Linked DNA regions of Schizosaccharomyces pombe. The gene in region 2 interacts genetically with the main gene of each other region. Each region holds a gene or a part of one and is shown on either strand. Other genes may lie near its edges. The genes, in order: rhp6, cut8 and txl1.

What was found.
Region 1: mutations in cut8 (region 2) and rhp6 are lethal when combined (synthetic lethality), as found in Schizosaccharomyces pombe (one study listed by BioGRID).
Region 3: mutations in cut8 (region 2) and txl1 impair growth when combined (synthetic growth defect), as found in Schizosaccharomyces pombe (one study listed by BioGRID).

Annotation. Positions count from the first base shown.
Region 1 is NC_003424.3:296,156-307,262, reverse strand, and holds rhp6 (ubiquitin-conjugating enzyme E2 2), read right to left. Parts: upstream 1,658-11,107; 5' UTR 1,541-1,657; coding exon 1,499-1,540; exon of another isoform or gene 1,452-1,498; coding exon 1,387-1,451; exon of another isoform or gene 1,207-1,386; intron 1,174-1,206; coding exon 1,053-1,173; intron 948-1,052; coding exon 844-947; intron 796-843; coding exon 672-795; 3' UTR 501-671; downstream 1-500. Other genes in the region: U3 snoRNP-associated protein Lcp5, read left to right, coding at 1-299; protein pat10, read right to left, coding at 2,234-2,263, 2,308-2,344, 2,403-2,492, 2,532-2,589, 2,728-2,800; SPOM_SPAC18B11.09C (serine O-acetyltransferase activity), read right to left, coding at 3,244-3,411, 3,470-3,547, 3,623-3,929, 4,032-4,102; transcriptional corepressor Tup11, read left to right, coding at 5,552-5,675, 5,743-5,827, 6,000-7,635; SPOM_SPAC18B11.11 (GTPase-activating protein), read left to right, coding at 8,477-11,107.
Region 2 is NC_003424.3:4,472,566-4,483,754, reverse strand, and holds cut8 (nuclear proteasome tethering factor Cut8), read right to left. Parts: upstream 6,278-11,189; 5' UTR 5,906-6,277; coding exon 5,117-5,905; 3' UTR 5,114-5,116; downstream 1-5,113. Other genes in the region: G-protein-coupled receptor Stm1, read left to right, coding at 980-1,795; SPOM_SPAC17C9.11C (zf-C2H2 type zinc finger protein/UBA domain protein), read right to left, coding at 1,825-1,862, 2,021-2,597, 2,743-2,850; scs22 (VAMP/synaptobrevin-associated protein family protein), read left to right, coding at 3,844-4,033, 4,263-4,378, 4,460-5,113; protein Pex19, read left to right, coding at 7,045-7,138, 7,281-7,885; protein dhm2, read right to left, coding at 8,181-8,465; MFS family transmembrane transporter Mfs1, read right to left, coding at 9,496-10,430, 10,484-11,144. UniProt on the Schizosaccharomyces pombe protein: Together with nucleoporin alm1, tethers the proteasome to the nuclear envelope. Involved in ubiquitin-mediated protein degradation and facilitates the degradation of nuclear proteins like mitotic cyclin and cut2. Required for normal progression of anaphase.
Region 3 is NC_003423.3:758,269-769,287, forward strand, and holds txl1 (thioredoxin-1-like protein Txl1), read right to left. Parts: upstream 9,223-11,019; 5' UTR 9,211-9,222; coding exon 8,987-9,210; intron 8,935-8,986; coding exon 8,286-8,934; 3' UTR 8,084-8,285; downstream 1-8,083. Other genes in the region: 1-phosphatidylinositol 4-kinase Stt4, read right to left, coding at 140-153, 207-1,227, 1,267-2,072, 2,114-5,898, 5,954-5,961; ubiquitin C-terminal hydrolase Ubp10, read left to right, coding at 6,328-6,516, 6,565-6,901, 7,003-7,985; DNA repair ERCC8 family protein ckn1, read left to right, coding at 9,514-9,550, 9,601-9,748, 9,812-9,919, 10,000-10,117, 10,166-10,244, 10,289-11,013. UniProt on the Schizosaccharomyces pombe protein: Has a role in cellular detoxification of alkyl hydroperoxide.

The DNA.
Region 1 (11,107 bases), 4.2 Mb from region 2:
TGCAAAAAATGCGTGAGAGGATAGAGTATGAGGAAAGTAATTATACTCGCCTTCCTAAATTATCGAAGAAAGATTTAAAGAAATCTAAACGTGTAAAGAAACACGATTATGGTGGTGAAGACTGGTCATTGCTTGATCGCAAATTCCATGACGATGACTTTTCAAATCGTAAATTAGACCTGACTTCTAGAGCTAAGAGACGTGCTAATTTTGAAGACGTTAACGATGGCTCATTAGCTTCACCTGTTCAAATTGGCCAGTCATATCGTAAAAGAAAGAAGAATTTGAAACGTCGTTAATCATTATTTTGGGAACAGCCGTTGAGGTTTACTTAAAAAAATTGACCATATGTATTTAAAAAAATGGAGTTTTTGCGCTTGGTTTGGTATTTTTGTGTGGTTTAGGGCAGGTTATGTTTAATAAGATCAATATAAATTTTGCATGTACATGTCTGTATATGTGATTAGTCGCACATTAATATAGTTTACAAGTTCTAAACATAAGGAAGAAATCATTCATTCGTAGATGTAAACAAAAAAATCTTAATGATTTACTATAGTTACAATTTTGGCAACTTTGAAGCACTTAAATAGATTTAATGTGAAAGGCGGTTGAAAAAGAAGAGTAAGTTCTAATGAAATAGGGATTATTAAGACAGCTATGTCTTGAAATCAACTTTCCCAGGAGTCTTCTACAGTTTTTCGTACTCGACGCACATACTCCTTCTTGTTTTCACGATGCAGCTGAGCAGCTTCGGCATTTGCAGGGGACGCATTATTTGGATCATTAAGTAAGCTAAAAGTTAGTTATGAGAAATTTAAGTAATATTTCTGAAAAGCAAACCTTTGAATAGAGGTAAGAATTGCTGCCACATCGTAAGTTGGAGACCACCTGTTTTGCAGAATGTCCAAGCAAAGTTCGCCATTTGCGTACACATTTGGATGGAACTAAAGCCAATAAGTAAGTAAACAAAAAAAACCAAGAAAAAAGTAAATTACAACAAATCAAATAATCTAATTTAAGACTTGTCTAAATACAATGACTAAGCATACCATTGTGGAGACGAATTTTACAAGAGGAGGTTTATTAGGATATTGTTCATCAAAAGAAAGAACCAACTTAAAAGTTCCATCTTCAAATGGAGTGTCTGCTGGGCCAATGATAACAGCATTCCTGCTCAAATGGTTAGTCCAACATCAATAATAAAAAACAAAAGCAATCAATCCAGAAACCAACAAGCATAAAAAGATCGCTTCTTGTAAGAATTTTGAAACGATCTCCTTCCTAAATATATGGCAAAAAAGGCATTCAATATATAGCACATATATTCACCATTACGTTGCATAACAATAAGAGAAAAATGAATTGACATAGGTAAACACTTACCAAAGCATTACATTGTCAGAGACAGGGGAAGCTGAAACTCCAGCAGGAGGATCTTGCTGCATCCTCTAAGAATTGGTTAATATAAGTCTTCTCGGATCCACAACTGCCGTACCTTAAAATCTCGCATGAGACGTCTTCTTGCGGTCGTTGACATTTTTATAGCAACCTCTCTTCTATTTGTGATAACTTTAAAAAAAAGTTGCACAAATATCGATATCGCCTTGGAATTACACCGAGTTAGGATATCCGATTTGCGTTGTTGGAGAAGGGCAGGGAACAATAGTAGGACCATTCACTCATATGCAGTATTTCATTATTAATGGGGCGCACCCAACACGTTAAAATAATAAAGTGCACGCTCAGTTACCTTATAACTAGACCAACCTTTTAGTAATGTTCAGCATTTGCAATGCAAGTCTGCTTTAGTATTAATGAACTACTACTTCATTTAAATTATAGTTAAAGATAAGGAAAGTTGATATTTTTCATTCAACCATTAATCATAATCAAGGTCCGTGCATTTGTTAACGGTAAACTGTTGAACATGTGAAAATTATATATATTTACTTTAAGCCTTTGTTCTCATTGGGTTTAAAAAAGCAACTAAAATACATTAGGAAGAAAAAATGAAAGAGCAACAGGATGTAAGAAATAAATTTACATTTTCACTAGCTTAACAATGAGAAAACACAAACAGCCAATTTTTTACGCGTCTGCTACGTGATTGAAATGGTAGTTAGAAATGTATCTGAACTCTTCACCATTAGATATTTACATTGTGCATAAATTTAATTATCCAGAAAAAAATCAGCTTAATACTCTTATTAATTCACTGACTTAAAAATTACTAAGTTTTGTTTGGAGTATTTAAAAATTGCTGCACAAGTTAATCGACAAAGTAAATATAAAAATTCAACTTACCGGTAAATATGTTGACACAAGAGCCGCGATACCCATACTGATCAAATGTTAACATCCATAGAACTACATTAATGCAATGAATTAGGATTACTTACAAAGCCATTGAAGTCGGAGATGAGCTGGGAGACGTATTTGCGTTCAGTAAATTTGAAAAGGTTAGGATAAAAGCAACCCATGCAATTAATCTTCTCGTTAACATGAAAATCCTAAAATATCTTACATACTTGAAACGAAGAAATAAAGCAGCCATACACGTGGCTGTGCTTACCAAACTCAAGCCAACTATAATAGGGTTAGCAAACTTAATAAATTATTTGACGAAAGAAAGGATTTAAAATATTCCACAATGAACTAAAGCTTGAGCGATTAAATCAGCGTAACTCACGATTGGGTTCAATTTGAAAGTGCTTTCTACTTTACCTTCTTCATTTGCTTTGACTCTAGCTTTGTAGGGAACGATTAAATCAGGTCGTTTAAGTTCTGCAGGCGCCATATTTTATGAATTTTCGTTGTCGAGACTTCAGAACTGGTGAATGGGATGGTTCCTCTACAAGAATATAATGAAGTTAGTAATAAAATGTGTAAAATGGTTTTAGGTTAGGTTATTTAGCATTCAAATATATCGTGGGGGTTAAGAGTTCTTATCCCACTAAGAATTTCAACTATTTTAGACTTGGCTAAGCATTAGAATTAAAATCGATTGCAGTACCACGTGGGGGCTTTAGCAAGTCATAGGAGGAAACTGATCCTACTTGGCGAGTGAGAAATGGATTTCTTTTAGCATTCTAAGTCTTCTATATAACAATTTAAAGCTCAAACATAATATAATATTATTTATACTATTTTAAAAATTTAGGAACCAAGCCAGGTGAACTTAAGAAGTTCAAAGAGCATTTAATCGTTAGATGAAATAATAAAAAAAAAAATTACACTCGTTCACTCGTTTTCAATTTTACGAATAGGTTTGGCAGGTGATCCTACAGCCAACGTATTAGGTGGGATGTCTTTTGTAACAACAGCACCCGCTCCAATTACACTGCCTTCCCCGATAGTAACACCTGGGAGAACTATAACTCCCATACCAATCCAAACATTGTCCTGAATCTTGATAAAATTTTGTTTGTTAGTTGTAAGATGTTTCAATAACTGGACTAACGCATACGTTAATTGGTAAACCAAATTCAATTCCGGAGTTCCTTGCTTTAAAATCCAAGGGATGTGTTGCTGTACATAGTTGAACCTGGAAAGACACCATTAGTATATTTATTTTTTGAATGAATGACTTGAAAGTAACTATATATATATATAAACATACATTGGGGCCTAGCATTACATTATTACCAATAGTAATTATGGCAACATCTAGAAATGTACAATTATAATTTGCAAAGAATTTTTTTCCAAAATGAACGTTAAATCCGTAATCAAAAGCCATAGGTGGCTCAATCTCTGGTGCTGAAGATTCGTCAAATACAAAAACTTCAGCCAACAGTTCAGCTCGTCTTTTAATCAATTCTGCTGGGCCTACATTTTCCAAATCTCCCATAGTGTCATTAAACCTTCGCATTAATTTTTTAGCATTACATCTCGCTTGAGTCAACTCCTCGTCGTAAGCCTTGTACCTGTTATTTAGTAATTAGAATATCTCCCTGCGTTCAATGTGACTTCAAACATGTCAACGAAGATGATATATTAGCTCGACAAGTTTTAAGCATTAGCCTTACGGTTGACCAGATATCATTTTTTGGTATTCAATGGTTTTCGGTATCATTTTTTGTACACGAGTACGAGTCATTTCTGTCGGAAAACAAGTATATTCACTAGCATTGACAATGGGACTAGTAGAGTTATCGATGTATAAATAGACTTATATATATATATATATATGTATTGATATCAATATTAACAAATTGCTGATAAAACTATACGGAAACTTTTTAGTGAAATAGTTTGTAAAACGTAAGTAAAAACATCTCGATGATATATAGCGTCAGCTGTTACACTACATTATGCCCCACTATGCAACATATCATTAATTGTCGCATTGCTTTATGTCTGGCCCCTACTCGTATTACCACCAGCATACCAAAATTTATCAAGTTACAAGTAAATAGTTAGTGTAGCTTAACAAACGCTGAGGGCCGTAAACTGACAAGCAATAACAAGATATGCAATGAACGTTGTCCGTCCCTTTTTTAATCTTGCTTTCCTCCTGTATCATTAAACTGATTAAACTGGGTAGTAATCCCAAACTAATGTCATATAAAAAAAAAATTCAAAACAACTTAAATAGTACATCAAACAAAAATTGATAAGTAAATAAGCAATAAATATGATTTAAAAATAAATCCAAAGTGTATTTATTAATCGCCCTTGAAGTGTAAATGGCATATCGTGTCAGATTAAATGCTCAATTTCTGACGGCTTCGGTTTGCTGCGCTTAAACATTTTGCTTTAGTGTTAATAAATTTCAACTATGGGATTTTTTCATCCTTCTTCATGATAACTAGATTATATGAAAAAAGCATCTTTAAGACAACCAACAATGTTTTAATATCAGTAAAGTGCGTCAAATTTCGCATCATTAAACAAATAATGTCACTTATGATTAACTGAGTCATTAGCAAATGAAATGTGAATTTACGGGTTAAATACTATCATAACTTTTAATTAATACTTATCAAGATAAAACTCACTGTAATAATGTCTTACAAAGGTCGGTAAACAATCTAATTAAACAAGGATCAGATAATAAATTGATTAAACACAAATTTTAATTTTTTTATATTGATATATAAAAACGGTTAACAAATTTTTCCATCAATAAAAAAAAAATGAATTACACTACGTTTCAAAGTTATAACTATTTTTTTATAACAAACATCAACTGAAAAGCAAGAAAATCTATATTCAAAAAAATAATATAAACGCTACAAAAAATCAAACAGTAAAGGGTTTCGAATTGCTTTTCTCTATAATTCAAATGAATTTCAAAATAATTGGGACAAGTTGCCAACACACACGCCATACTAATTTTGTGATACTTGCTCAACCAAAAATATGTAGCACCACATTCTCTATTTAAAGATTAGCGCAGCACAAGGAGCCGCTCGATAAAAGTGCTGCTACAAACGTTCAAGAACACAAGTTTATTCTTGTACCACAATTCAAGTGTTGCTATTGTTGTAAAAGGGCGTATATCAATCGGATTCAGTTTTTGCAATAAGTCTGACTGAAAAAAAAAATGGCGTCAGTGGAGGATGCCACGAAAGTTCAAGAAATGCTGGATGCGTTGAAGGCTGAATACAATGCTTTGGCTCATCATAGCTTCGCGTCCAAGGCGCGCGGAAACGACTATGAATCTTCTAGTACGTGTTTGAATAAAATAAATTAAATTAGCTATTTTTTGGAAACTAACATTCTGTTCTATTGCAGTGATACAATCTCAAATTCAAGAAATTGAAGCGTTCCGAAAAACCGTGGATGATATGTATGAAAAACAAAAATCTATTAGAGAAACGTAAGTTTTTATATGTTAAAGGTATCGAGGGATTATATAGTATCTACTTCTTTTCTGTGAAATTCATCATTATTTTATAATAGCATACGTGTCGCTCGAGATTTATATGCTTGAAGTAAAAAAAAAAAAACCTTTATAACATCTGTCTTCACCAATTTACTAACATTTATAGGTACGAAAAAGATATCAACAAGTTGAAGCGAGAGCTTGAAGAATTAGGTGTCGAAGCGAATACCGCAAGTTATAGAAATCGTGGAGAAAGATCTGAACTTGCCGCTTCTAATAATCAAGTTACCCATATTGATCAGGAACATCCCTCTCAAACCAAATCTACTTCTCAGCCTCCAAGTAACCATCTACCTGCCTTTCAGCAAATCCCTCCAATTCACCAATCAGCTTATCCTCAAAATAATGTTGCTGAAGTATTGATGCCTCCAATTCCTCCTTCAGTAGAGGCTTCTAGCGGGCAAAATTTTAATCAGGGAATTGCTTCTCAAAATCCCGCGATATCTACATCCAATTTACCTAGTACTACACCTTTATATATCCCTCCTGTTAATTACGGAGCAAATCAGGTTTCTCAACAACCAAATCCTCAATTGCCTGGTGTTTCCAATTATTATAATCCAAGTGCTACTTCAAAACCTGCTGTGAATGTCCAGCCACCGCGTATTCCTACCAAAGCAACTCCTTCGGCTGAACCTTCTATGACTGCTTCTGCGAATGCTGGTTCTATATCCCAAGCGGGTCCTGATGGAGAATATCAGGGAAGAGAACAGATTGCTCCAGTTTCAGATACAGAAGCTGCTAGAAAGACAACTTCTCAGAGTTGGTACGTCACTTATAACCCAGCATGCAAAAGGGTTTTTAATATTAATCTCGTGCACACACTAGAGCATCCCAGTGTTGTTTGCTGCGTTAAGTTTAGTAACAATGGCAAGTATTTAGCAACTGGCTGTAACCAGGCCGCTAATGTCTTTGATGTTCAGACTGGCAAAAAACTTTTTACTTTGCATGAAGAATCACCTGATCCTTCCCGTGATTTGTATGTGAGAACCATTGCTTTCAGCCCTGATGGTAAGTATTTAGTCACGGGAACAGAAGATCGTCAAATAAAACTCTGGGATCTCTCAACTCAAAAAGTTCGTTACGTATTTTCAGGTCATGAACAAGATATCTATTCCTTAGATTTTAGCCATAATGGGCGATTCATCGTCTCTGGTAGTGGCGATCGAACTGCACGACTCTGGGATGTGGAGACAGGTCAATGTATTTTAAAGTTAGAAATTGAGAATGGTGTGACGGCAATAGCCATCTCTCCAAATGATCAATTCATTGCAGTTGGTAGTCTAGATCAGATAATTCGAGTATGGTCTGTGTCGGGTACTTTGGTTGAACGATTGGAAGGTCATAAGGAGAGTGTTTATTCTATTGCCTTTTCGCCCGACAGCAGCATTCTTCTTAGTGGAAGTCTTGATAAGACTATCAAAGTCTGGGAATTACAAGCAACTCGTTCAGTTGGCCTTTCAGCTATTAAGCCTGAAGGTATTTGCAAAGCCACCTATACAGGACATACTGATTTTGTTCTTTCAGTAGCTGTTTCACCCGACAGCCGTTGGGGATTAAGCGGATCGAAGGATAGAAGTATGCAATTCTGGGATTTGCAAACAGGCCAATCTTATCTCACTTGTCAAGGACACAAGAATTCAGTTATTTCCGTATGCTTTAGCCCAGATGGTAGGCAATTTGCTTCGGGAAGTGGTGATTTACGTGCTCGCATATGGTCAATTGACCCTGCATCTCCTTGAATTTTTGTTCCTGTTTACATATAACTATTTGCTCTCGGAAATAGTTAACCGCATTGATTTTTGGTTACAAAGTTTACAAACTAAATTTTGTAAACTCTATTACTACACTGGTATATTTCCTTAATTTGTATCATATTTTTTTTGCAATATTATTTCCTTTACTTACGGTCACAATAGACAAATCATCACTCAGTTTTTTAATGTCACTAATTTTGGAGAATGGCTTCTCTCATAAATTAACTGAGACACTTTTTATTTAAAAAATAAACAATTAATAAAAAATTCCTTAATTTTTAATTTTAGTTCTATGATAAATGTTGCATAACTTGAGATAATACTTAATACTTTTCAATGTAGATTCTTGAAATACATGTGGTTGATTAAACATTTTTTAAATGGTTATTCTTGTATTTAGTAATTTGCATATCTCCACCTTGACTCCGAAATTCACCAACAGATTTATCATATACTCGCTAAAATTATGTATGTATTAACCATCTTCTGACTTCTTCAACGCGAAGAAGACTCATTGTTTCGATTTTATTGACTAAAACATAGAAATTGAATAAATCCTAATCGATGCTATATTGAGGTGTGCTTTTACAATCCGTTACAGTTCGATATCTGCACGTTTCTTAAGGCTATCTTTTCAGGAGTTTATAATAATCCTCCACGGCTTAAGCAGTCTATAATTTGGGTTTACTTCATTAAATCTTTAATTTAGCACTTTTTAAATATATTTAAAATCTTAATACTTAAATCGGTGCCAACCCAGGACCTATATTACGTTTGGGTTAAAGAAAAATTGTCGTTGTTTGCTGCATCGATTTATATCTAAGCTATGAAGGCTTTGGATATAGACACGATTCTCACCCAAATATCGAATCAACAGTCATTGGATAAACGCTACAAACGCATAAAAAGGCTCATCAACAATGAGCAGTTTTGTAAAAATGTAATCCTACAAAAACTTGTTGATTCCACTAAAGACATTATTGAAAATAAAGTTCACGGAAACATACTGGCAGCCACTATTTCCTTATGGACTCATGCAGCTGAAAAGCATAAAGAAATGTCTTCCGATGACCGTGCACTATTATTCAACGAGCTGTCAAAGGTTCCGAATTCTGAATACTATCCTGCTACTGTAGACGCCTTGATTGTTATTACATCCCAAGGCGAAAGAACTGAGTCTTTTTCAAATGACATACTTAAAGTTTTGTCTGAATGGTTGACTGATTTATTTACGATTATTGATGATATGCGAGCTCAGTCGAGAAAATCCTTCAAAGGAAGTGCTGAATTGAGAAATTACACCCGTTGTTTTCGTCAGATAATTCTCTTGCTTACGAATATGTTCAGGGTGGGCTTTAATTTATTTGATGAAATGGAGGTTTCTTCTATGCTAGCGAATTGTGTGTGGGTCTCAAAAAGCACCACCGATGAAGAAGACATTGCATTAGTTTTTTCGTTATTAAATTGTATTATATCCTATGGTCGCATATCTTCCGCTGTTTTGTATTCTATTGTTGAAGTAGTATGTCGAGCAAAATTTGGCTTAGTCGCAAGCTCACAATCAGCTCAGCAGATTGTTGAGAAACTGTTGAAGACAGCGACCAAGTACGAAGCACTTAATTCCCTAAAACGGATAATGGAAGAGACAGATGAAGGTTCTTATATAGCGATTATGGGTGGTATTCAAATCGTGAGTGCTCTCTTTACCGATATCCCTAGATCAGTGTATTGCACTAGAGGAATGCTGCTTGGATTCCTTCAAAGATCCTTAAAGAATAAATCTAGTCGAATAGCTTTAGAAACCACTCGTTCTTTATATAATGCTTTGGAGCGCCGTTCTTTTGTTGAAGTGCTTTATGCAGATGAATGGATCAGCCTTTTAGATTTGCTTGTTGAAATATCTTCATCACTTCCTAAATCTCTCAATTACCGACCTGGAACTTGGCAGCACATTGAGCCTAATATAATTGAGTCTATTGCATCGTATCAATTACAACATCTTCTTTTATTTAACGAAATTTTAAAACCAGACTCTAATCATTTTGTTCTAGAGAAGTTTCATGAGTTCCTGAAAATTAATTTTTCATATTTAACCCCTACACTTAGCCAAAAGTTGTTTACTGTTCTTGATTTACGATCACAGTTGCCATATTCGGAAGGATGGCTTGAGGATCAAACAATTCTACTTAAATCTTATTTTGATACTAGTTTTTCTTTGGATTTCCATGTCTACTTAATTGGTCTCTTTAGAAAAGTTCTATTTGCTTGTCCAGTTGAACTTCGCCCTGAAGTGTATGCTCGAATGCTTTGTCCCTTAGTGAAAAGTTTGGATAAATCTAGTTCCGAAGTTATAATTGATGAAGTTATTTCCTTAGTTTGTGATTTATCTTGGATATATCCATCGAATGTATTTCACGAGGTGAAAGACTCATTATGCTTTTATGCTCATAACAGCAGTAATGGGGATTTACAACTTAGATCTATTCAGGCAATAGTAAGCTTAACATTTTATTATGTTTTGCTACCCGAATTTAAATCAGTGCTTTACGATGGGTTGGTCGAAATTTCGTGTGATTTCAAAATTCGACGTACTTTTCGAATTCCAGTATTGAAGTTATTATTACAACTACGAATAAACACTAATGACTATTGTTTTGTTAACTTGTCTCCCGCTCAGTTAGAGTTAATATCTGTATATAGTACGCAATGGCATAACCCTTTTATATCTGAAGAAGCTCAACGCTGTCGGGACAATAAAGTAAAGGACAGAGATTTGTCGTTTTCTCCAGTTTTTCAAAAGTTTCCCCTGAAGGTGAATACCTCAGCTACTTTGTCAAAGGATTTAATGAGTTTGCCGATTAATGAATGGGTAAAAAATGTTATGTATATTGTTACCCATGAAACAGATTGGAAAGTTGTTCAATACATATTGATTAATTTTACTAATCAGCTTCGAAACACAAAGATGTTTACAAAAACTGTTGAAGCTTTACAGCTCCTTTTGAACTCTTTAAGAGACATCATTAATGGTAAACAATCATTAAATATAAATTTTTCGGATTTCTTTCGAATTGAGGATTTGCTCGTCAGTCTATCAAAAATTCTTTCTGTTTTGATGGTTTATAAAGATGTTCTACCTCCAACTGCTCATGAACAATTCTTCCAATTACTCAATCGTTTCGCTGAAAAGGGAGATAAAACAATGGAGTCATGTATCGATACTCTAATAACTAATTGCTGTGCCATGCAGTCATTTTCAATTATGCATCTACCTAAATTTTTTTCTATTACAATGTCTTCTAATTTATCGGAACGTAGTTTGGTCAATTTTCTTCGACTTCTTCACGTGGTGAGCGACAACTGGGAATTGAATGAAGGCTTAGAAAAAGAAACTATTCAGAGCATCTGTCTTTTTTGCTTAAAGGTTATCCGGACAAAAAAAGAAGAACTTGATGGT
Region 2 (11,189 bases):
TTTTTCAGCGTTTTTTTATTATTATTATTTTTAATATTTTAATATACGAAATGAATCGTTCATGACTTTTCATTACCCTTGTTTAGAAAAAAAAATAAAAATCCCAATTTGTAAGAAATTTTTATAGAGTTTTATAGTCTCGAAATTAAATCATGGAATTAGCACATCTTTTACTGCAAATAATCTGAGAATCAAACAAGTCACGTAAACATTTCAATGTTTAATACTGCTAGCGATATTATGGTGTATTAAATTTTATAACAAAAACGAGTTAGCTTGACATTGATAAAATTAATGCGACTGTTATTTACATTGAGAATTATATTGTTAAGTGAAATAGGATTATTCGAAGGAAAATCTATTTCGCTTACTATTCCTTTATATTTCTTTAGAATGATACCTTTGGATTGACTATCAATTGTATCTGTAAATCCACGGACACTTTCTTAATTCTGCGAAACTGCATGGGCGGCAAATTTTTCTTATCTTGAAATCTCTATATAGCCTTGCCCGAGGTAAATAAATAACAGGACGGCTGGGAGGTTGATCTTATCCAGAGCCAAACTCACCACCAAATCTCTTCTGTTTCTTTACAGTGGGAGAAATATTGTTTACCATTGTTATTATTATTATTATAGATATTCCTTTTAGTGTTTATTTTTTAAAACAAAAAAAAATACTTGTAACGAATTTTCATTAAGTATCATCTCTTGGATCGCTAAAATAAATCAGCGAATATTATAGTGCTGAAGCATTACACGTTCGAGGAAGTTGACAAATTTTAATAATTGCTTATCATTCCTATTAAATTAATAGTTTGATTTCCCTTTCAGGTTGCTTCGCTTTTGTAGCCCTTTGTTTCCCGTTCTTTTTATTTATTGTCCTCCACACTCATATAAAAAACTTTGACCATAAAAAGCTTAGACAAGCTCTTCTCAAATTCATTTTAAAATTATCTGTTCGCAAGCATTTTTGTCCCATGTCTGTGATAGCTCCTTCTTTTGATATGGCTAACATACTCACGGAGTTGTCTTCATTTTTAGGAGCATTATCCCTGGGATGTTGGGTCGTTTTACTGATCCCTCAATTACTTGAAAATTATAAAAACCAGTCTGGTGAAAGTATCTCTGATTTATTTTTAATCATCTGGCTTATTGGCGATTTCTTCAATGTACTTGGTTCCATTTACGGAAATGTCTCTTCTACTGTATTGGTTCTCTCATTTTATTACATTGTCTCTGACAGTACCCTACTTATGCAAATTTACTACTATCGTTGGAAAGCTGCCCGTCGTATTGCCAGTCGTGAACACGAACCCTTACTCCAAAGTCGTTCATTAGAAGAAGGTCTTCATGCACCCATTGGTAAACAACAAATTTGGTGGGATCGCCTTTCTACCCGTCAACAATTTGGTGTAATGGGATGTGTGGTTATTGTCTCGACAATCGTTGGAAACTTAATTATTTCTAGTGCCTCTTCTGACAAGAGTGATGATGACTTGAATGCATGGCCGTTTACTGCCGGTTGTATCAGTTCTGTGTTATACTTCTGTGCTCGTATTCCTCAAATCATCAAGAATCACAAAGCAAAGTCTACCGAAGGATTATCCATTATCTTTTTTGTGTTGGCCTCTGTAGGAAACACTTCATACGCTTTCAGCATTCTCGTATTTCCCGCCTCCGATTACTTAAACTACACATATGCTAACCTGCCTTGGATACTTGGCGCGTTCAGCACCATCTTCCTTGATATATATATCTTCTACCAGTTTATCAAGTATCGTAATCATTATTAACACAGCATAATTATCAAAAGGTCATAACTTTACCATTGCGGAATAAGAACGGCTGAGGGAAACAAATCTATGCAAGCGTTAATAATATATTCCATGTCTATAGTTCAAAGTTTTCAGAGGAAACAAAGATATGTCGTTTAGATGCTAGTAGCAACACAATATTCTTTCAAAAACATGTATTCTAATGTCACACATGATGACAGTAAACACTAGTTTGATACTTACCAAGTTGGTTAACCGGTTTATCAAATACATCAGTGCCGTATGAGGCACGGGGAAAGGTAGTGGTAAACTTAGTTGGCGGTGACACGTTCATTTTCTCAGCGACCTGTTGTGCCAATTGGCGTAGCGTCTCCTCAGCTGCAATAGTTATATTACAAACTTGACCATCGTGTCGGATAGAAAATCTGCCTGATGTAGGAGGGGTGCGAGTACAAGTAGAAGACGAATTGGCATTTTTAGGCTGCTTGATGGGAGCAGCCGTTTCTTTTACAGAAGAATTCTTATTTTCCCGTTCTGCAGCTCGTCGTTTTTTATCGCGTTCAATTTCTGCGAGGATTTTCTTACGCTGCTCAGCATCTTCAGCCTTTTGTTGACGGATCTTTTGCAAGTCACGTAAGCGGGCTTGATCCTGCATCTTTCTCATAGCCTGTGCAGTTTCATCATTGGATTTTTGAAGGATTTTATAATTTGTCTTCTTCTCTTCCAGAGCCAAAATCCTTTCTTTTTCCTTTTTCTCCTTTGCTTTCTCTCTTAAAGCTTCAATAGCTTGTTTTAACTCTTCGGGAGAACGCTTCTTAATCTATGTTTTATAATCGTTGTTAATAAAAAGAAAGGATCGAGTGAAACAAATTATTGTTTTCGTGAATTATAATAATAAGGATGGTTAACAATTCGAACGCTTCAACCATTCAGCAAAAAGTAAAAGGAGTAAAATCTATACATACCTCTTCTTCAGTTTCCTCAAATTGATCATGACTGGTTTTGGTACTATGAAATTCAGCCATTTCGATGGAGGAAAGCAATTTATCGCATTCCAAACATTTCAAAACCATTTTTGTGTAGAGTTTGTAGTTGCAAAAGGCAAATTACAATGACGCTCAAAAATAGCCCTACGTTCCATCGACTCAACATCTAACGTGCTAATATCTACAATATCGTATTACCAAACATCGCAGTTGAGAGCATTATAAATTTGTTGGTCATTGAAATAGAAATGACAGGTCAAATGAAACAAAATAATTGTAGTTACCACCGATTACGCTATGAATTAGAAGAATAAATGATTGTATATATTGCACGACATCCGCAGACCGATGATTGAAAATGATTACTGACTTTCGTGATCCTGTAGTTGGCATCCACTCGAGTAATTCGTTTCCTTTATACATGGTATGCTTTCTAAAGCATCGCTGATATTCCTTGAAATAAAAATGTTGATTTTTCCCTAGCATAATGACCATTAACGAAAGTATACAATATCTATTTAATGATTGTCTAAACCAAAAAACGTATTTCCTTTGAATAGAAAGTGTAAACGAATGCGCAATTTTTTTTTGAAATCATAATGTTTACTTCATCCTTGCATTCTTAAGTTGTAATTAAGACAATTCAAACGCATTAACATGACATTTAGAAATTAAAAAGGATAACTTGAATCATCCTTTTTGGGTATTTATATCATTTATTAATTTCACAAACAATAAATCCATATACTTATTGGGATTTTATAACCATACTGCATTCGTACATTATTCACCTACTGCAAAATATTTTTTAGCATATATTACTTTTTACTTTCAAAATATCACATTTATTTTAATAATATCGTTATAAGGCTTTGTATAATATCGATGAAAACAGTTACTTGAATAATTATCTCCTTTTATTTCAGTATCCATATATTACCATAATCTTTGCTCAGCCTCGGAAAATCACACACAAGTATGTGTGACGTAAAGCCACGATTTTTGGCTACACTGCGAAATGGTACTTCGCAGAGTAAAGTAGTACCACCTCTCGCAACAAACTCGCCTTTCCCGTAAATCATGGCTCTTGAATGTGATAGTACAATTGTGTTTCCTCGACCACTTACACGACTAGTAAAATGTGATTTAGAACTTCGCAATACTGCACCTTATCCGATCGGATTCAAAGTGAAAACTACTGCTCCTAAACAGTACTGTGTGAGACCCAACGGTGGTCGAATTGAAGCCAATTCGGCTGTAAGTGTTGAAGGTAAGATAATTTATATTTAATTTTGAACCTCATTTGCATTTTTTGATTTTATTCGTTTAAGCGGTTCCCATCATTGATGTTGTCGGGTGGAACAAAAACGTTGTCATCAACGTGATTTTCTTTTGCAAACTAACAGTTTTTATTGTTTTTGTGCGTGCACTGGAAGATAATTTGTGCTCATTAGTTATTGCTGTAAATTTTCATTTACTAACTTCTTTTTTTTTAATAGTTATCCTACAGCCTCTAGATCACGAACCGGCTCCTGGCACAAAATGCCGCGATAAATTTTTGGTCCAGAGCACTGAATTGAAGCCAGAATTACAGGGAATGGATATAGCAGATATTGTATGTGATAAAAGATATACTTACATTTACTTTTTTAATACATGCCATACATAATTGATGTTCTAACCAATACTTTAATAGTGGACTCAAGTCAGCAAGGCTAATATATCGGAACGAAAAATTCGATGTGTTTATAGTGAAGGCCCCAGTACTGCAAATGCTCATGCTAATGCTCACCATCAACCAGCTCAAACAACGACTACATCTATTCCTACTTCTGCCACTGACAATTATACCACAGTAAATGGTAATGTTAATCAATCTTACTCTAAAGGAATAGACGGAACGGCACTTCCTTCGACCCATGCAAATCCCGTAGCTGCTCCATCTACAGCTACTACACAGCATACCCAGCTTCCTAAAACATCTGCAGTTTCTCACCAGAAGCCCCATGAAGCCCCATCTACTGCCGTAAAAGCTCCTACTGCAACAGTCGCTGAAAATGAACCTTACCCAAAGCCTCAGTCAGTGCCTACTACCACTTCTCCTAACAATGAAAATAATGCATTAAGATCTACCGCTAATGTAATTAATAACACAAGACAATCAACAGCTACGAGTCCATCTATGTTCGCTGGAAACAGTGGAAATCAAATAGGACTTGCACGCGTTTCATCGTCTTTTGGGCGTCCGACTAGTGGTGCCAAGGTTGTTCCTCAAATTCATAACACAGTTACTGTGCAAACCGCTTTCCTATTAGCCATTATATGTTTCCTTATAGGCCTTCTGTTCTAGTTTTTAAATATATTGATGCATACTGTGCCAACCCATTCCATTGTCATTCCCAATGTTCATACTATTAGTATGACGATGAAAATTGTTTTGTGGATTTGTTTGTTGAAAAGTATGACTTCTTTCATGTACAAGTGGCTCATTTTTTTGTAATTGCTTAAGGTAATTTAATGCCTCTTCCATTCTGTTTTGTGATGTTTTATTGTGCTCTTCCAACTCTTCCAAAGGTAGTAAAGGGACTACAGGCCGATCCTCAAGTTGTCTTAAAACAACAAGCCACGCGCCCGTTAATTCATAGTACGCTTGACTTTTATAAACATTATGGTTGGGATTATGGAATTCTGGCAGTTCGTGGACAACGTTTGTAGCGGCATCAAGAAAAGTAATATTTTTCTCAAAACAAGTAGAGTATGGAGGTAAATAACAAGGAACCATATCATTAAGCGCATGTAAGACAGCCATGTACTTTTCACGAATTCTATTAAATGCGTAATCACCCCTCTTGTCACCACCATAGGGAAATGAGTCATTCAAGTTAATTAAAAGTTTACGCAACGTTTCAACACAAGTATCCATGGACGGCGCCGGTAATATGCCCCGTATATCACGTGCGAGATCAGGATGCTTTTCTACACATTGTAATAAAATTGTAAAAAGCTGTTGTTTGTCTGAATATTGTAGCAGTCTCGACAATGGCAGTTGCTCACCCACAGGTAGTTGACGAGCACGCTTAGAAATGTCTTCGTCAAAATCAGCTTTGCGTTTCTTAATCTGAGAATAAGATAAGGTCTCCATGAATTAAGGAAATGAACAGTAACAACAAATAAAGATACCAACTTCAAACGTGAAATCGTCTGATTAATTATAACAAAGAAAATGAAAATTACAAAGAAATGGATATTCCAAAAGAAAGAGGAAAAAATTTCAAAAGTAGTAACAATAAAACAAAGATAGAGGATACTTTGTTAATGAGCTTCCTTTTTTAAAAGCCGGAAGGATGGCTATTGCTCAGTGTATCGACTTATGAAAGCTAGCAATTTAATTTTTTTCTCAGCCCAAATGAAATAAAACCGTCGATTATAATTTCTATATTACAAGAAGCTCTATTGCCCGCAATACCAGCTCAATTAGAACCTCGATTTCTTAAAAAAGATAATGGAAAATGGTAAGAACAATTTAGTGGCTCAAGAGTTTTCTTCTCATGAGACGTTACCAAACTATTACTTAATTCCTTAATTTGTTTACTGAAAAAATTACATTTTATTTAATATAATGTCACCGCAGCTGAGTGTCAAGCCTACAATAATATGTTAACGCAGTACAGAAAATCGTTAAGTTGGAAGAGCAAAATAATAATTTTTTTCGAAGTAATTGTGCGTATGGATCAATGTTATAGTCAATAACTATTTAACTAATTGTTGTTGGTAAACAGTAGTCAATTCTAACTTATTGGTGATGCTAAAAATGAAAACAAAGCTTCATTTCAACTGATCATAGGCAAGTAATAAAAGCAGGGGGTAGACTTTACGTTCTTGTGTCGACGATTTTATGATCGTTAATTTCGTACTCGATTCATACCAGATACACAAACAATGAATAATTAAAACGATTCATACATCCAGTAAATAAAAAAAATTCCATTAAATTTGTTGTTTGAAGATTTAAAATTGCGTCAAATTTGAAACCAAATAACGCATCTTAATGCACTTGAACGTTTTCACGCTGATATACTTTGATAAACAACGATCACTACGGTTTTACCTACATGAAAAATAATAGAGAAGCACTTTATTATTTTTTTTTGGCAGTTCCAAATTTTCATTTTTTTTGAACTTACTACTTTTTTATTTATTTTGTGAATTACATGATAATTGAACTTGCAAGAGGCTTTTGAAAAACGACAAACGTATGCTGACATCTGATATATAAACGGAATGTCAAATCCAACTATTGAGGGAGACGAAAACCGTAAAGAAAATACAAAAAGCAACACAAAGCCGAATTTTGACGACCTTGATGATTTGGATGGTATGGAACATCGGTAATGTCCTGACTACGATTTGTGTATTACGATATTTCGTTCAAGTGAATTTTGCATTGCATAAATATAAAAAATAATGAGAGGGTAGAAAGGACTTTACATTAAAAGGAAACAACTAACAAAACAAAGATATCCTAGATGATTTAGATGTACCCAGTGCATTTAAGAACGAAGAGAAGAAAAACATAGATGAGCATAAACAAACCGGTAATACATCAAAAGAGAATGAGAGGATAAAGAATGACGATAATTTGAATTCACTTATTCAAGAAATGATGAGCAAATTTGAAGACTTAGGGGGACCGTCTGGCTTGGATGGGAGTCAACTTTCGTCTAGCTTTCAGAATGATCAGTTACTCAATGTTATATTAGAGGATCAGTTTGCAACGGAAAAAGATTCGGATAATGGAGCCGTTAACTATGGTGCTTTAGAGGCTGCCTTAAACTCCCTAATGTCACAAGTTACCAGTAAAGAGATTTTGTATGAACCCCTTAAAGATCTTGAAGCAAACTATCCTAAGTTTTTAAAGAATGCGAAGGAGACAGAGAAGCAAGGTTTTGAAGAACAGTACCAGAAAATTCAGAAATGTATTCAAATTTTTGAGAGTCCCGAATATGATGCTCGTAAAGATGCAGATATCATTTCGAAACTGGTAGAAGAAATACAGGAAAAGCCGCTTCCAGCTCCATTGATTGATAATTCTATGGAAACTGCAGGATGTCCAACCCAGTAAGTGGCTTGACTAAAGGATATGTATCATCGCTGTTATATTATTGAACTTAGGGTTTTGGATTATATATAATTGATTCTTTGTAAAAATTTCCTTATTTTCATTTTCAATTTAGTAACCCACGAACTTAGGTAATTAATTCTTTTGATTGTAACTGCTAAAATATGTTAAGTTGGTTTATATAAAGTTGTTTAGAAGTTTTTAGCTGACATTAGGTCAAGGCGAACCAACGCAAGGCTTTGACAGCAGCAGCAAACGAATAAAATCATAGTGTTATGTTTTCCTTTTTCAGAAATCGTTACAATTGATCAACTTCTTCTTCCAGATCCGATGGTTCAATTGCATAATCTTCAGAGGCATTTTCAAGTTGTTTTTCCCATTCCATATAAGCGCTTTCGTCTATAAATTTATTCATTTCCATGGAACCTCCCCTTTTATGTTCCAAAATCCCCTGTCGCCTTTTAGCTTGTTCATTTTCATTTTGGGCACGTGTAGATTGTCTAAGACGCGTCCACGAATAAATCGTAGGCTTTAGTCGTTCAGGCGAAGCACGATCATATTGATAATGAAAGGAATCACTCATGATGAATTAAAAACCATCTAACTTCTAACAGAAAGTTCGACTGCCCTTTCCATAATAAGCGTTTGTAGCCTTGGATAACTAAGAATGCAGCATTTTGAATGCGATGGAAAAGCTCAATGTAACCTTATTCAATCTTACGCGGCGTACTGTGTTCGGTATGAATTTAAGGGAAAAAGCTATAACGCGGTAAATGCTTTACAATAGTGTTATAAACTACTTGTCGCGTTGCTTACGCTTTAACGATGTTTTGGATAGTACACAAATTAACTTCAAGGTAAACTAAATAAAGCGGTTAATTCGTAGAGAACAGATGAAAATATAGGGAAGCCCTAAAGTAAAAAAACTTTAAGTTAGAGGTAGTTAGCTGTGTCTGCTCGTTATCTTAATGTCTTATTTATTGTTATTTAAATAAGAATATGAAAGATTAAATTTCAAAATGGATTCGCACGCAAAAAATAGTCAATTAGCATGATCTTTTTCAATACGTTTGAAAACAGGAGGGATGAGGAAAAATATATTTATAACTTTACTCTTCTTCACATTTCATTTTTTTTTTATATTAAAACTGCAATGATTAACAATCAAACGCTTGGAACTAACATCCACTTAACAAAGTCAAGTTATTAGGTAAACACATTTAAAAACGTAAACAAATTTATTCAGTTGGTGTTTTGTAAATAAATTCCGGCTTCCTTTTTTGGCTAAGAGTAACGAGCTTAGAGCAATTGTAAACGTATCGCCAAGCTCCATTTTATTAAACACTAATATTTCCAGACTAATAACATTAGAAATTATTAAAGACTAGAGTAGAAATAACCATATCCAACTAATAGCACTTTAAAAAATGACAAGGAATAAACAGCAAAGAAACTCATAAATATCTAATGTATAAAAATTAAATTCGTATCCTTCGTTAAGGTTACCACGGAGTAATCGAATAATATGTAATGATCACAAAAGACCAGAATTAAATAAAGGAAGGTATAGGTGAGGGACCAGTAAAGAGGTATTTTTTTAGCATGAATTTTCTTTAAGTGGCATATTTTGATCGACTTCTTAGTTTCAAACCCCATTTATAAATCAAGAATGGAATGGGGATCATTATGCAAGAAATAACACCAAGAATCGTGCTTCCCCACCCCACTGGGGCATATGAAGGACCTGTATTATTAAACATGGCTCTAGCATATAGAGGAGATGCTGCAGCCATGGAAGATCGAAAAAGAGCATTTCCAGCAAATACTGATGCAACATACTTCGGATATGCAGCTGCCAAATATTGAAACATACTTTGGAACAACAAAAAGGAACCTGATGCGTAGAAAAGTGTACCAACAATTGGTACAATCCAGTGCACCGATTCTCTTCCTGTCCAACCAAACCAAAAGAGTGAAATTGGAATAAAAAAGGCAGCTGGAAATGAGATGATTAAAATTTCTTCAGCAGGAAACTTACCCTTATTTTCCACAAACTTAGGAATCATCACTTTTCTAAGGTAAATAAAGTAAAATGCTACGGTTAGAACTGAACCTACCAATATACCCATGTAAACCAACCCGTTTTCAATAGTCGTAAAATGGTAGACTGTAGTAAAAAGGATGGGAAAGGCTTCGAACCATAGGTATAAAATTGAATATACTAATCCAATATAGATGGTTAATGACAGAACGATTGGTTCTGAGACACACAGAATTATAGGACGAACCAATATTTGCTTTGCAAATTGGCCTTTACTCAATTGCGAGGAGGCTATTTCGGCCTCCGTTTTATAATTTGGATTTCCAGTCAATTCGCGCAGTCTTTTAGCTCTTTTATACAATAAATGCCATTCAGAGGTTTCTGGCATAAAAAAAGTTATAATTACCAAGACAAGTGCAGAAATCATCATCAAAAGCCAAAACTGCCATCTCCATGATTTAGCAACTACCATGGCTGCACCAAGCAAGGGACCTAAAACAGGACCACCTAGAAAACTAGTTAGTCACAAATTCACTATCAAATTAAATGATCCAGCTTACCAACTGCGCCAAGGGACCAGAAACACATGAAATAAGGATAAAGCCATGGCTGCCAAATATCGGCCAGAGAGGCTCCTCCAGTGGAGAGGGCAGGTGAGCCAAAAACTCCCGCCAAAAATCTCATTGGAAGCAAAACACCCAAGCTAGATCCTAGCGCAGTGGGGATTTGCAGACAGATAAAAACAATAAGGGAGAGCACATAAATTTTTTGACGGCCTATTTGAGGTACCTCAGAGAGTGGAGAGAAAATGAGAGGGCCAACCGCATACCCCTCAACGAAAAGAGTCAGCCCCAAGATTACGGGCACGGTTCCTACATGCATCGTCTCTCGAATTTCCTGAATACCAGGAGTAAAGATTGCCGACCCCATATACACGGCAAACGTTAAAAAACAAACATCAAATGTTACTACGAGCTTTGCCCATAAAGGCCAATTTTTTGGGTTTTCAGGATCATCTTCGCCATCCCATGTCACAATAATCAATCCTTCAGAGTTAACCTGGTTAGTTTTCTCGTCGTCAAATGAAGAATCGGGGCAACTACTTAACTCAACATTACTATTATCTGTGCATACTCCTAATTTCTCCACATCAACTTGGCGAGTACCGCCAGAAAAGTATTCCACTAATTCACCAAAAATTGTTTCTCTTAAAAACCACATCCAATCGGTTCTCAATGCAAGTTCTTGTTCTCAGTGGATCGTAAT
Region 3 (11,019 bases), on a different chromosome or scaffold from region 2:
TGATAAATTATCGTACTACAATACAAAAAAGACATTGCAGAAGAAACTATTATGACTGAATGATCGTTATATTAGATCTAATAAACTTAGCTGCAAGGTACTTAAACGGATAATAATTATTATTGCTGGTTGTTTTATATTAATAAGGAATACCTTAAAAAAGTTAGTAATTAGTTGCTCATTTATATTGCTTAAAATCATCTTACCATTTGTGGCCTTCTGGAATTGATCGTACATAAGCGTACGTTTGTTTGCATAACTCTGCTCAATCAAATGAAGCATAAATGTAGATGCTTGCCGTTCATTTAAATTCAAAGCAAATCTCTCCAGGCAATGAGTAATAGTTAATTGCCCCTTAAAACAAGGAAGACCCGAATCCAACATAACCTCCACAGCTTGACATATATAATGGGCATAAGGTCTGCAGGCAAGGAATGCTTTGACACAAAGCTCTTGAAACCACTGAAATGGCTGCGATTTATTACTGCCTCCCATAACAGCGATCATCTCTGTTGTCAATTTAAAAGGTGCACTCTCAAAGGTAATACCTCCAGGAGCAATGTCAAAAATAAAACCGAAATCAATATGCAAAATATGACCTTGGTCGTCAATCATGATATTTCCATTGTGTCTATCCTTAAATTGCAATAAGTATGTAATAACTGAATAAGCGGCCATACTTTGTACGAAGTTACTACGGGCTTTTTGGAATGCTATAGAATCTTCATCACCAAACTTTGTGCGGAAGTAGTCATACAATCCATTGACAGCCTCCCGACCTAGCATATCGCGTGAAATACAATTTGGTAAAACATCAATAACACCACAGCCCGGATTAGTTGCAGTAACTCGATAAGGAAAAAGATAAACGTCTAATCCAACAGAGTTAAAAATATTTTTGAACATTGCAATTAATTGGAGTGTTAAGACATCTTGTCTGCAATCATCACCAACCTTGAAGATGGCCGATTGCCAAACTTCATAAGTTTGTTTCTTAGCCGAATCGCCGGCTTCTTCTTCTGTACCATTCACCGCCAATTCCTCAGGGTCAGCATCAACCAACTTTTCTTTGCGTATTTTAAATGTTGCCATGAAAGGAGCTTTAGCATGACTTTGAAGAGGCTTTCCCGACTTTCTATCTATTCCTACGATTACACCATCAGGATTACTTGGCAAATAAACACCAACGTCAAGTTTTATCTTCTTCATCTCCTCATCAATTTTAGCCTACAAATGTTAGTAATGTATCTCAAGAAAAGAACTAACCTTTTTTTCGGGTTTAGATTTTCTAATGAACGGCTTTAATTTTCCTGAAATTGACGTGACCTCATTGAAAAAGGTAAACTCTCGTTCGTAAAATTGCTTATCTTCTCCAGATAAAGAGTTAATCATTTTATCCATTACCCTATCCAATATTGGTTTTATAGAATCAGGTACAGTAGCGGCTTCATCTTTATAAAGATTAGCTTTCATGTTCCACAAAATTTGATGAGCAAACAACTGTGATGTTCCTGAGGTTTCGAGAATGAAACTTTCAGCATATCCCATGCTATCATAACGTAATGATTGAACAATTTGAGGAACATAAAAAAACGTTACAGAAACTGGGTAACTTTCCATAGAACGCATGGTGTACTGCAATAATTGTGGATTCCATTTCACATTCGGCATGAACATTACAGGCCCTGAAACTGGATACATTGGCTCCCAGTATAGAATAAACTTGCGATCTATAGGAAATTCACCGCTTGGATAGTGCTCAAACAGATATTCCAAAGCAACCTCATGTTTTACACTAGTAAAGGGATTTGCAATGACGAAATTCAACGCCATCTGCTTCAATGGAGCATTTTGAAATCTTTTAGGAGCGTATAACACTATATTAGGAGAAACGTTCCAAGCAACCTGTAACATTTCCAAAGTAATTGGCGACGAAGCGGCATCTGAATCAGGAATAGGTTCAACCATCCTGACATTTCGACCATGCAAAACAGGGGTCAGCCAAGTATAAAGCATATACATTTCATTATTGAGTAATATAATAAGAAGCTTTTGCTTTAATGTGGTAGACACTATAATATTGTTAGTCATATATCGAAAGGAACTGACATACCTTTAAGTGGATAACGTAATAAAAAGCTGTCTAATTTATCGCGAAGACTTCGCATAACACTTATTTCCGCTGCTACATGTAATTTGTCAGCTCCATACGTCCAGTTGGGCATTCCGCTGAACCAGCATAGTCCAGCATCAACACAAAGATTGTAAAACCTTGAACCAAGCGGGCTATTCAACAAATTTTCAGCGATACGAAGGCCAAATGAAACAAATTTGAAATGAAGCTCCCTAGTTAAAACGTTCAGATTGACTTCCATTGAAGTGATTTTCTTAAGTACGAATTTCATGAAATGTACAATAAGTTTAGCAGTCTGTCTATCACCGTACCAGAAGCCCTCAAAATTTCCTGCAATTAGTTGCAACAACAATAAGTGCGGTATCATTTGAGACATAACCTTGTTTTTATAGGACAAAAACGAAGCTCTTTCAGTCGGAGAATAAGTCATTGGAAGTGCCAACGGAGATTTACTTTTGGCTGTCGAAAAGTAACCCCTTTTTTCGGTTACAATTTCATTTTTCCAGTTTCTAATAATATTCGAAATCAGAAAAGAACTGAATGAGGGAACCTGGTTCATCATCCAATTCCATAAAGTGATCCCGAGTTTGAACGAAGAAGGTGAAAAATCAAGAAATGGAATACGAACAATTTTTCGAGCCAAAACGGAGAATTGAAATATAGGTTCTTGAACAGCATGCGCGGCTGCTTTTCTAACCTCGTTACGAAGTCTTTGCGGAGAAACAGTATTTCCCTGTAATATATCATCCTCTAAACTTTTAAGTGCTGCTAAATGAGTTTCAAAAAGCTTGGATTTTTCGTTCAAAATAAGATCTATTCTATCTGTTGACATATCCCCCTCAATATTCAAAATAGAATTGTCGACATGAGAATACCGTTGACGAATGGTATATTCGGCCATAAATTCCGAGCTCGTATCGGGAGTCCAATTTCCAAAAGCAGGCAAAACAAAATTGTCACGATCAGAACTCACGATTCGAGTGCCAAGCTCAACAGCAAGAGATCGTCCAAGCTCAACGACTTCTAAATCGTCAAAGTCCACAAAGTCTGCTAAATAAGATTCAAGCAAGTTCTTAACCTGGTAAGGAATTGCTTTGGAAGAATTTTGAATCCATGATCTAGCATGTCTATTAAATTGAAATAGAACTTCTTCCCTGCAAGAGTAAATATCTGAAAGTATTACACTCAAATTAAGCTTATTGGATTTGTATAATAATTGAGGGACATACTGATCAGTGCATTCTTCAGTGCGAGCTTTCCAAAGAAGGCTGGAAAGCTCTAAAACACTAAACAGTATTTCTTTGATACCGAGTAAATGAGGTAACGTCTCCATAATATAATTCATACATTCCAAAGCCAATTGTCGTACACAATCAACTCTATTACAACAAAGACACAACAGTTTTTGAAATTCGTCGATAGTAGAAGAAGCAACTCTTCTTTCTTTGGACAATGATTCAACGAAAGATGTTAAGTTATATAGGGCAATAGCACGAATAGATTGGGGGAGTTGACTGTCTCTCAAAGATGGATCAAGCAAGTATTCTACAAGCGCAGAAAGCTTATTCGATTTGCAACGCAAAGATTCAAGTAAAAGGACAGCAGACAAGAAGCAAATTTCTGAAGTACTCAAAGGCTTAAGATCAATGTTAGGGACCCTGACTAACAACTCTGATTTAATCTGAGAAATGACTGAATGCTCAATATGAGTCCTGAGGACTGTGTTTAGTTCCAAATTGCTCTCAAAATTGCTACCAAAATCCTCAAAAACAAGAAGGGGAGAATTTTTGGCAATATTTTCAAGGTCAACTTCTAGTGTTTCACCTAAATCAACTGAATAACGGAAACGATTTATGACTAAAGTAAACCACATGTCACGGAACAGTGCAGGATACATTTCTTCCTTGGGCAAACTGCTCCAATCAGTACCTGCAACACACTCGACTAAAGCCTGGACGGCTTTAGACATGCCAAAATAATATCCTTTCAGTTCAGGGGCAGGTGTATCACGAACGATACCTATATGGATAATCTCCTCTAGAAGACTTTTCAACAAATCTGACCTCTTGAAAGAGTTAGATTCCGTACCTCTAGCGATCAAACAGCGGGAATCACAAATAGCAATTGTCAGAGCTTCATCACCGTTCTTCACGAGCATTTTGTTTTGAATAGAATAAAACTGAACCAATATTGAAAAGTCACGATCATTAGCTTTAGTGGATATATCTGCTAGTGTTCTCACTAATTCAGTACTCACCCTCGAGTCGAATTTTCTTGAGAACTTTTGTATCAACAAAGAAATAGCTAATCCATAAATTTTCTCATCGTTAACTGTCAAAGCAATTTCACGAACAGAATCTATAACATTCAAATAGTTTGAAATTGTATTTACCGTTGCAGTTTGTGAAGAAGAACTAGACATATTGTCACTAATAGAAAGGCGTTCTTTTGGAGCTGCAAGATAACTATCAGGAGTGTCAGCAGGAGACAGCAAGTTGGCAAACTGGTATATTGAAGTGATAGCAGTATCTCTTGAGGAATAGTTGAAAAGTTGAGCAAGCTTTCTAGAGGCTAATTGAGCATAAGTCACATTACCATCATCAAAGCGGGGGGCATAAATAGCGATTAAACGCAATCTTTTCATAGCAAACTGAAAATGAGTGGGGAAAACACAGGCCAACGAAGCCATAAGTTCAATTAAATGAGGTAAGAGCTCCGGATCTTCAGATATGGAACCTAACAACACATTAATCCAATCACTATATGTGTATGGAACAAAACCAATGTAGGAGGAGGATAGAAGTGCCAATTTTAGTACGAGTACAAAAAATAAATTGCATGAAGTACCCAACTTCTCTTGAAGTCTCAAGGTCCCAGTTTTTGACAAAAACTTATCACTAAGGTTTAAGATGCTTTGGAATTGCGTTAAAAACGGCTTCTCCTCCGGAGAAGAAGGGCGATGTTTCACAATATCCCAAAATGAGGTAGCATCTTCATACCAAAGGCAACCAGAAGAATTGATGTATGCTTTCATAGATGAAAGGTAAAGGTAATAGCTCAACCCAAACCCAGCATAGTAATTGGAATGGTGAAGAAAAGAATCATTATGAAGGTCTATTAATTTACACGGAAGGTCTGAGACGAGTATCGTGTTACAAACCTCCATTGCCCATAAACACGCGTCTTGCGGCAAAGCTGATATGCAAGCATCGGCTATTTCTTCAAAAAAGAAACCAAGGTGGGAGGCATAAAACACTTTCTCAAAGATTGTCGTTTTAGTATGAGTTGGATTATTATTTGACGAATGAGGAGTATTTAGAATACGAGTTAGTGCCAAAAAAATGCTATTCAAAAACTTCACTATATCGGAAGATAATTCTCTATGCTGCCTGACAAGCGCTAAAAGCGCCTTAAGAATACATGGGCAAATATTCGCAGTCAGTGGTAAAAGATTAGGATAGACAGATTCATCAAGTGAGCATAAAACACTTTTGTACTCCGAGGTATCTTCCAAAAATAGATAATTCAGCAAGTAAAAGCGAAGCTGTTGGAACAAAGTCAAGGCATTTTCAGAGGCTTTGTTTTCCAAAGTAACTTCACAAATTGACAAGACAGTGTCCTCAATTCTTTGGGCCTTAAATAGCTTAGAATCTGCTTCAAGCAATTTTGAGTAACGATTACTTGATTGTACGAACAGATTCCAACCGTGATCGGGAAGGCAGCCAAGTTTTCGTAAAGATTCCCTTCTGATTGATTTATCGATGCTAATAATAATTAGTAGACTGTGCATTCGAAAGGGGAAAAAATAAAACCACTTACCAATCCATAATATTTGGCAGGGGATTACAAGGGTAATGTAAATCTAATCAAAAAGGATTAAAAATAAGTTATAATTTTGATGGGATAGATTCTATCAACCAAATGAAATGAAAGTTACGGAAGAATCTACTAATAACCGCTTTCGGCTTTAGAAGCAGAGAACCAGGTCTAAATGTGAAATCTCCGGCTTGAAATAGTATTTAGATATCCCTTTAATACATTAAATATGAAAATAAGAAAGAGAAAGCTAGTAAAAGTAGAAAATGACTTGAAAGAGCGTGATCTGCTGTTGACTTAGACGAGTGCAATTATGTGGAAGATACTTCCATACGACTTAGTAACTGAAGTTATCGATAGATGGTAAAGCTTCAAAAATGTCAGAAAATAAGGATAAAAATAATATTTTAAAACGCCATATTGAAGAAGATAATAATATTGATAATGGAAAACGCAAAAAACTCGAATTGGGTAAAGACATGGAAGATGTTCATGATATTGCGTCTAAAGAGATGGAAGAACACGAAACAACTCCAATAATATCACAAAACCTATATTTGGACACTGTAAGAGTGATTTTGCTGCATTTTTGTTCTATAATTAACGCTAATTAGATCAATCGTAAATTGTTAGATTTTGATTTTGAAAAGGTTTGCTCCGTTTCCTTGACAAATCTTAGTGTATATGCTTGCTTAGTCTGTGGAAGATATTTCCAGGGTCGTGGACCTTCATCACATGCTTATTTCCATGCACTCACCGAAAATCATCATGTTTTTGTAAATTGCTCAACATTAAAGTTTTATGTCTTGCCGGAATCTTATCAAGTAGAATCCAGCGCTTTACAAGATATTGCCTATGTGATGCGACCTACTTTTACGAAACTAGAAGTCCAAAGACTAGATCACACACCACAGCTCAGTTACGATTTAATGCTCAAACCCTATGTTCCAGGTAAGTATCGTGGGGAATTGTTTTGTTTTCTTTTATAAAGCTTACTATGAAAAAGTGATAGGATTCATTTTATTTAATGGTTTAAGTTCTAACACTTGTAGGTTTTGTTGGCATGAACAATATAAAAAATAACGATTACTTTAATGTGGTGATTCATATGTTGGCCCATGTTAAGCCATTTCGAAATTATTTTTTGCTTAAAAACTTTGATAATTGCCCTCAACTTGTCCAAAGATTGGCAATCCTTATTCGTAAACTTTGGAACCATAAAGCATTCAAGAGCCATGTCTCTCCTCAAGAACTCATTCAGGAGGTTACAGTTCTTTCTCACAAAAAATATTCTATTAATGAACAAAAAGATCCAGTAGAATTCCTTTCCTGGTTTTTAAATACTTTACACAATTGCCTTGGTGGAAAAAAGTCGACCATAGCAAAACCTACTTCTATTGTACATTACAGCTTTCAAGGATTTGTACGTATTGAATCACAGAAAATTCGCCAACATGCTGAAAAGGGAGAGCAAGTTGTGTTTACTGGTGATAGGGTTATACAAACTAACGTCGTCCCTTTTCTTTACCTTACTCTTGATTTACCTCCGAAACCCATATTCCAAGATGAGTTTGAAGGTAATATCATCCCACAAGTAGAATTAAAAGAGATACTTAACAAATATAATGGGGTACATACCCAAGAACTTGCAGGTATGCGACGGCGTTTTCATTTAATGACGGCTCCTCCATACTTTATATTTCACATCAAAAGATTTATGAAAAACAATTACTTTACGGAAAGAAACCAAACTATAGTGACATTTCCTTTGGATGATTTTGATATGAGCCCATTTATTGATGACTCATTTATCCAGTCAAATCCGAAAATCTCTACGAAATACAACCTCGTTGCTAATATTATACATGAGTCCGTGACACATGCTGAAGAAGAATTTCATAACTTCCGAATTCAAATTCGAAACCCCTCTACCAATAAATGGTATCAAATTCAAGACTTATATGTTGAAGAAATCAGTAGCGATATGATTCGTTTAGGCGAAAGTTTTATTCAGCTTTGGGAAAGGTCATCATAGTGTTAATATGTGGAATTTTTGGATTTCTCACAAAATTTCCTCTACGTGAGACAAAATTAAAAAACATTCATTTTATTTATCAAACGTTACCGCTTAGAAAATCTTTATTCTATATAAATTAGATTATCCATTTATATTCCCATTTCGTGAGTAGTCAGCAATTACAATGCTCAAATGAAAGGTTTGTAGTATTCTTTGGTATCAAGACACCAGATTGGTCGAGTAATGTATACGAAACTAGATTTTCATAAAGGTAAATTCGTAAACCGTCATGATTTTAGTTAACAAATTGTTAAGCACCTAAGCTTCGACCTTTTGTAGTTTTCCTTTACTTGAATCACCAACAGGCTCACCAAATAATTCTAAGCGAGAAATCTTAGTAGTTTCTTCTTCTCCGACATTCGAATAAATAAAAATAACGAGAGAATTGACACGTTGAAATTTAACAAAACGAAGGGGAATAATTGTAGGTTGATCGTCTTGTTCGTAAACTATATCCTCAATGACTTGAGTTGGAGTAAATGACTCAGCATCTTCAAAAGAAAGATTGTTGGGCTGATTGATGTACAATTTGATGGTTTTTGGAGCACTCGAAGTTTCTCCCTTAACAGGAGTAATTGCAATAGAATGAACCTTTACCACTTCAAGAAAAGGTATGTATATCATTAATTGCTCGTCAACATCCGACTCTAAAAATGAGGAAGGATTACTGTTAAATGCACTTTTCAAATCGTGATCATCTTGTTGATTTAGACATTCCAATTGGGGATTTTCAATGCAGCCTTGCAAGCTAGCAAAACCCTTGACAGGTGCCGATGACGAAGAAGCAAGAGCGCCAGTTCCTGTGGCTTTTGAGGAAATCAAAGCAACTTTTTCCTTCAAAGCTTGTGGGTTTGCTCCAGTTAGCATATCAATTTGTTTGCCATTTTCAAAGAAAACAAATGTAGGCCTAAAATGTTAGCAAAACCAATGGTACAGTGACGGATTAGGTAAACACATACATTGCTTTGACGCCAAGCCCGGAGGCAATTTGACGTTGCTCGTCTACATTTACTTTAGCAAAAACGAATTTGGGGCTAGCATATTTCGATGCTAATTGTGAAAATAAGGGAGAAATTGCTTTGCAAGGACCACACCAATCGGCATAGCAATCAACTGCAAGATATCCGGACTTAGGGATCGTTGAGATCCAGTGCTGGTACGATCTAATTTCAATAACTGACATATGGTTGAGGTTGAGTTCTATAAACCGTCTGCCAATACCATCTCGTACACCACGACCGTTATTAGTAGTGCGTCTAGCCAACGTCGAAAAACATATTTTTTTATTATTGTTTCCTGGAAACTACCTTTGAGTTTGCTATTTAAACATAGAAGTTGATTAATTGACAGTATTATTTACCGCTCATATTAAACTAGCTGTAATTTTATTTAGACTTAATTTGTTATACATGGTTTAAAAACCGGGTTGTTTTAAGCTGTCAGTTGCTTACTGTAGCATCTGAGTCTATTTCTTAGGTGAAATCGAATGAATTCTTTTTTATTGGCACGAGAATGGGGCCAAGGTAATGCAATTGATTATGTGATATAAGGATTTCAAGTCTCACATTTGTAGAGCCAAATAGCTCTTTTCGAAGGCAACTACTGCAGCATCGTCTTCAACGGTTAGCGCTGAATCCGGATGTGAAAATTAAACGTAGACACGGTGCGGGCATTTTAGGATCCGTAAATGCACTAAGCATTGATAATACAATTCATCAGCTGTATGACCTATATCGTTGATTTATCAAAGCTTTCAATTTTTGGTTAACAATTTCTATTGACAGCATGGTCTCTGGAGGAGCCAACTCGTCTATCAATGTTTGGGACCTACAAAATATTGACCAAAAGGAAGATGAAGATTTAATTTTGGATACCTTAAATGCAGTTCCTGCGTAAGCATTCATTTTCTACCTAGTTTATGACAATTTCAATATATACACTAGTGATCAATAGCTAACTTGCGGTGTTTTAGTCGAACGAGTCATAAGTTTGGAATAACAGATTTGCATTGGTTTCCGTTTGATAATGGTATTTTTACTAGCTCGTCGTTCGATCATACGCTCAAGGTTTGGGATGTTTCTACTTTACAGGTAATAAAAGTAGAAATCGCAAATTAACCAATGTTCTAATATTGGTAGGAAGCTTACACTTTTACTATGGAGGACATGATTTATTCACATGCATGGTCGCCCATTGCATCACATTGTTTAATTGCCAGTACGTTATATTCTTCATTCTTGAGATTGTTCATCTAACGATAGCCGCCTACCGGTCTTCGTCTATTCGGCTTTGTGATATGCAAAGTGGTAGTTATACTCATAGTTTGTCTGGACACACGGGTAATGTCCTTGCGGTGGATTGGTGTCCTAAGAATGAATTCGTGTTAGCGTCCGGCTCTGCAGATGGCACTTGCAGACTTTGGGACATTCGTAAAGTATCATCCAGCTTCGCATGTATGGATCTACATAATAAGTATTTACCCAGTAACCAGACAAATATATCTCATTACGGCACCGTTAATGGATTAGCTTGGACTTCAGATGCTCGATATTTGGCAAGTTGTGGTACCGACGATCGAATAAGAGTATGGAATATGGAAAGTGGAAGAAACACATTGAGAGAATTTGGACCTATTATTCATAACCAGACTACTTCCTTCGCGGTACATCCTTGCATGATCCAACCCTCTATGGATTCAGATGTTTTTGTGTTATTCCCCAACGATGATGGGTCTCTTGCCTTATTGAACTTGTTAGAAGGCTCGTTTGTGCGCCGACTTTCAACCCACAGTTTAAAACGTATTAATTGTGCTGCCTATCGTCCTGACTTTGAACAGTGTTTTACTGGTGATATGAATGGGAACATTTACATGTGGTCTCCTAAAGCTCTAAAATCGCCTACGAAGATTTCGGATTTAGAAACAAGACGAAACATAATTCAAGAAGTATACGACTCTTTAATTAATATTCCAGTGACTTATCAATAATTGCTA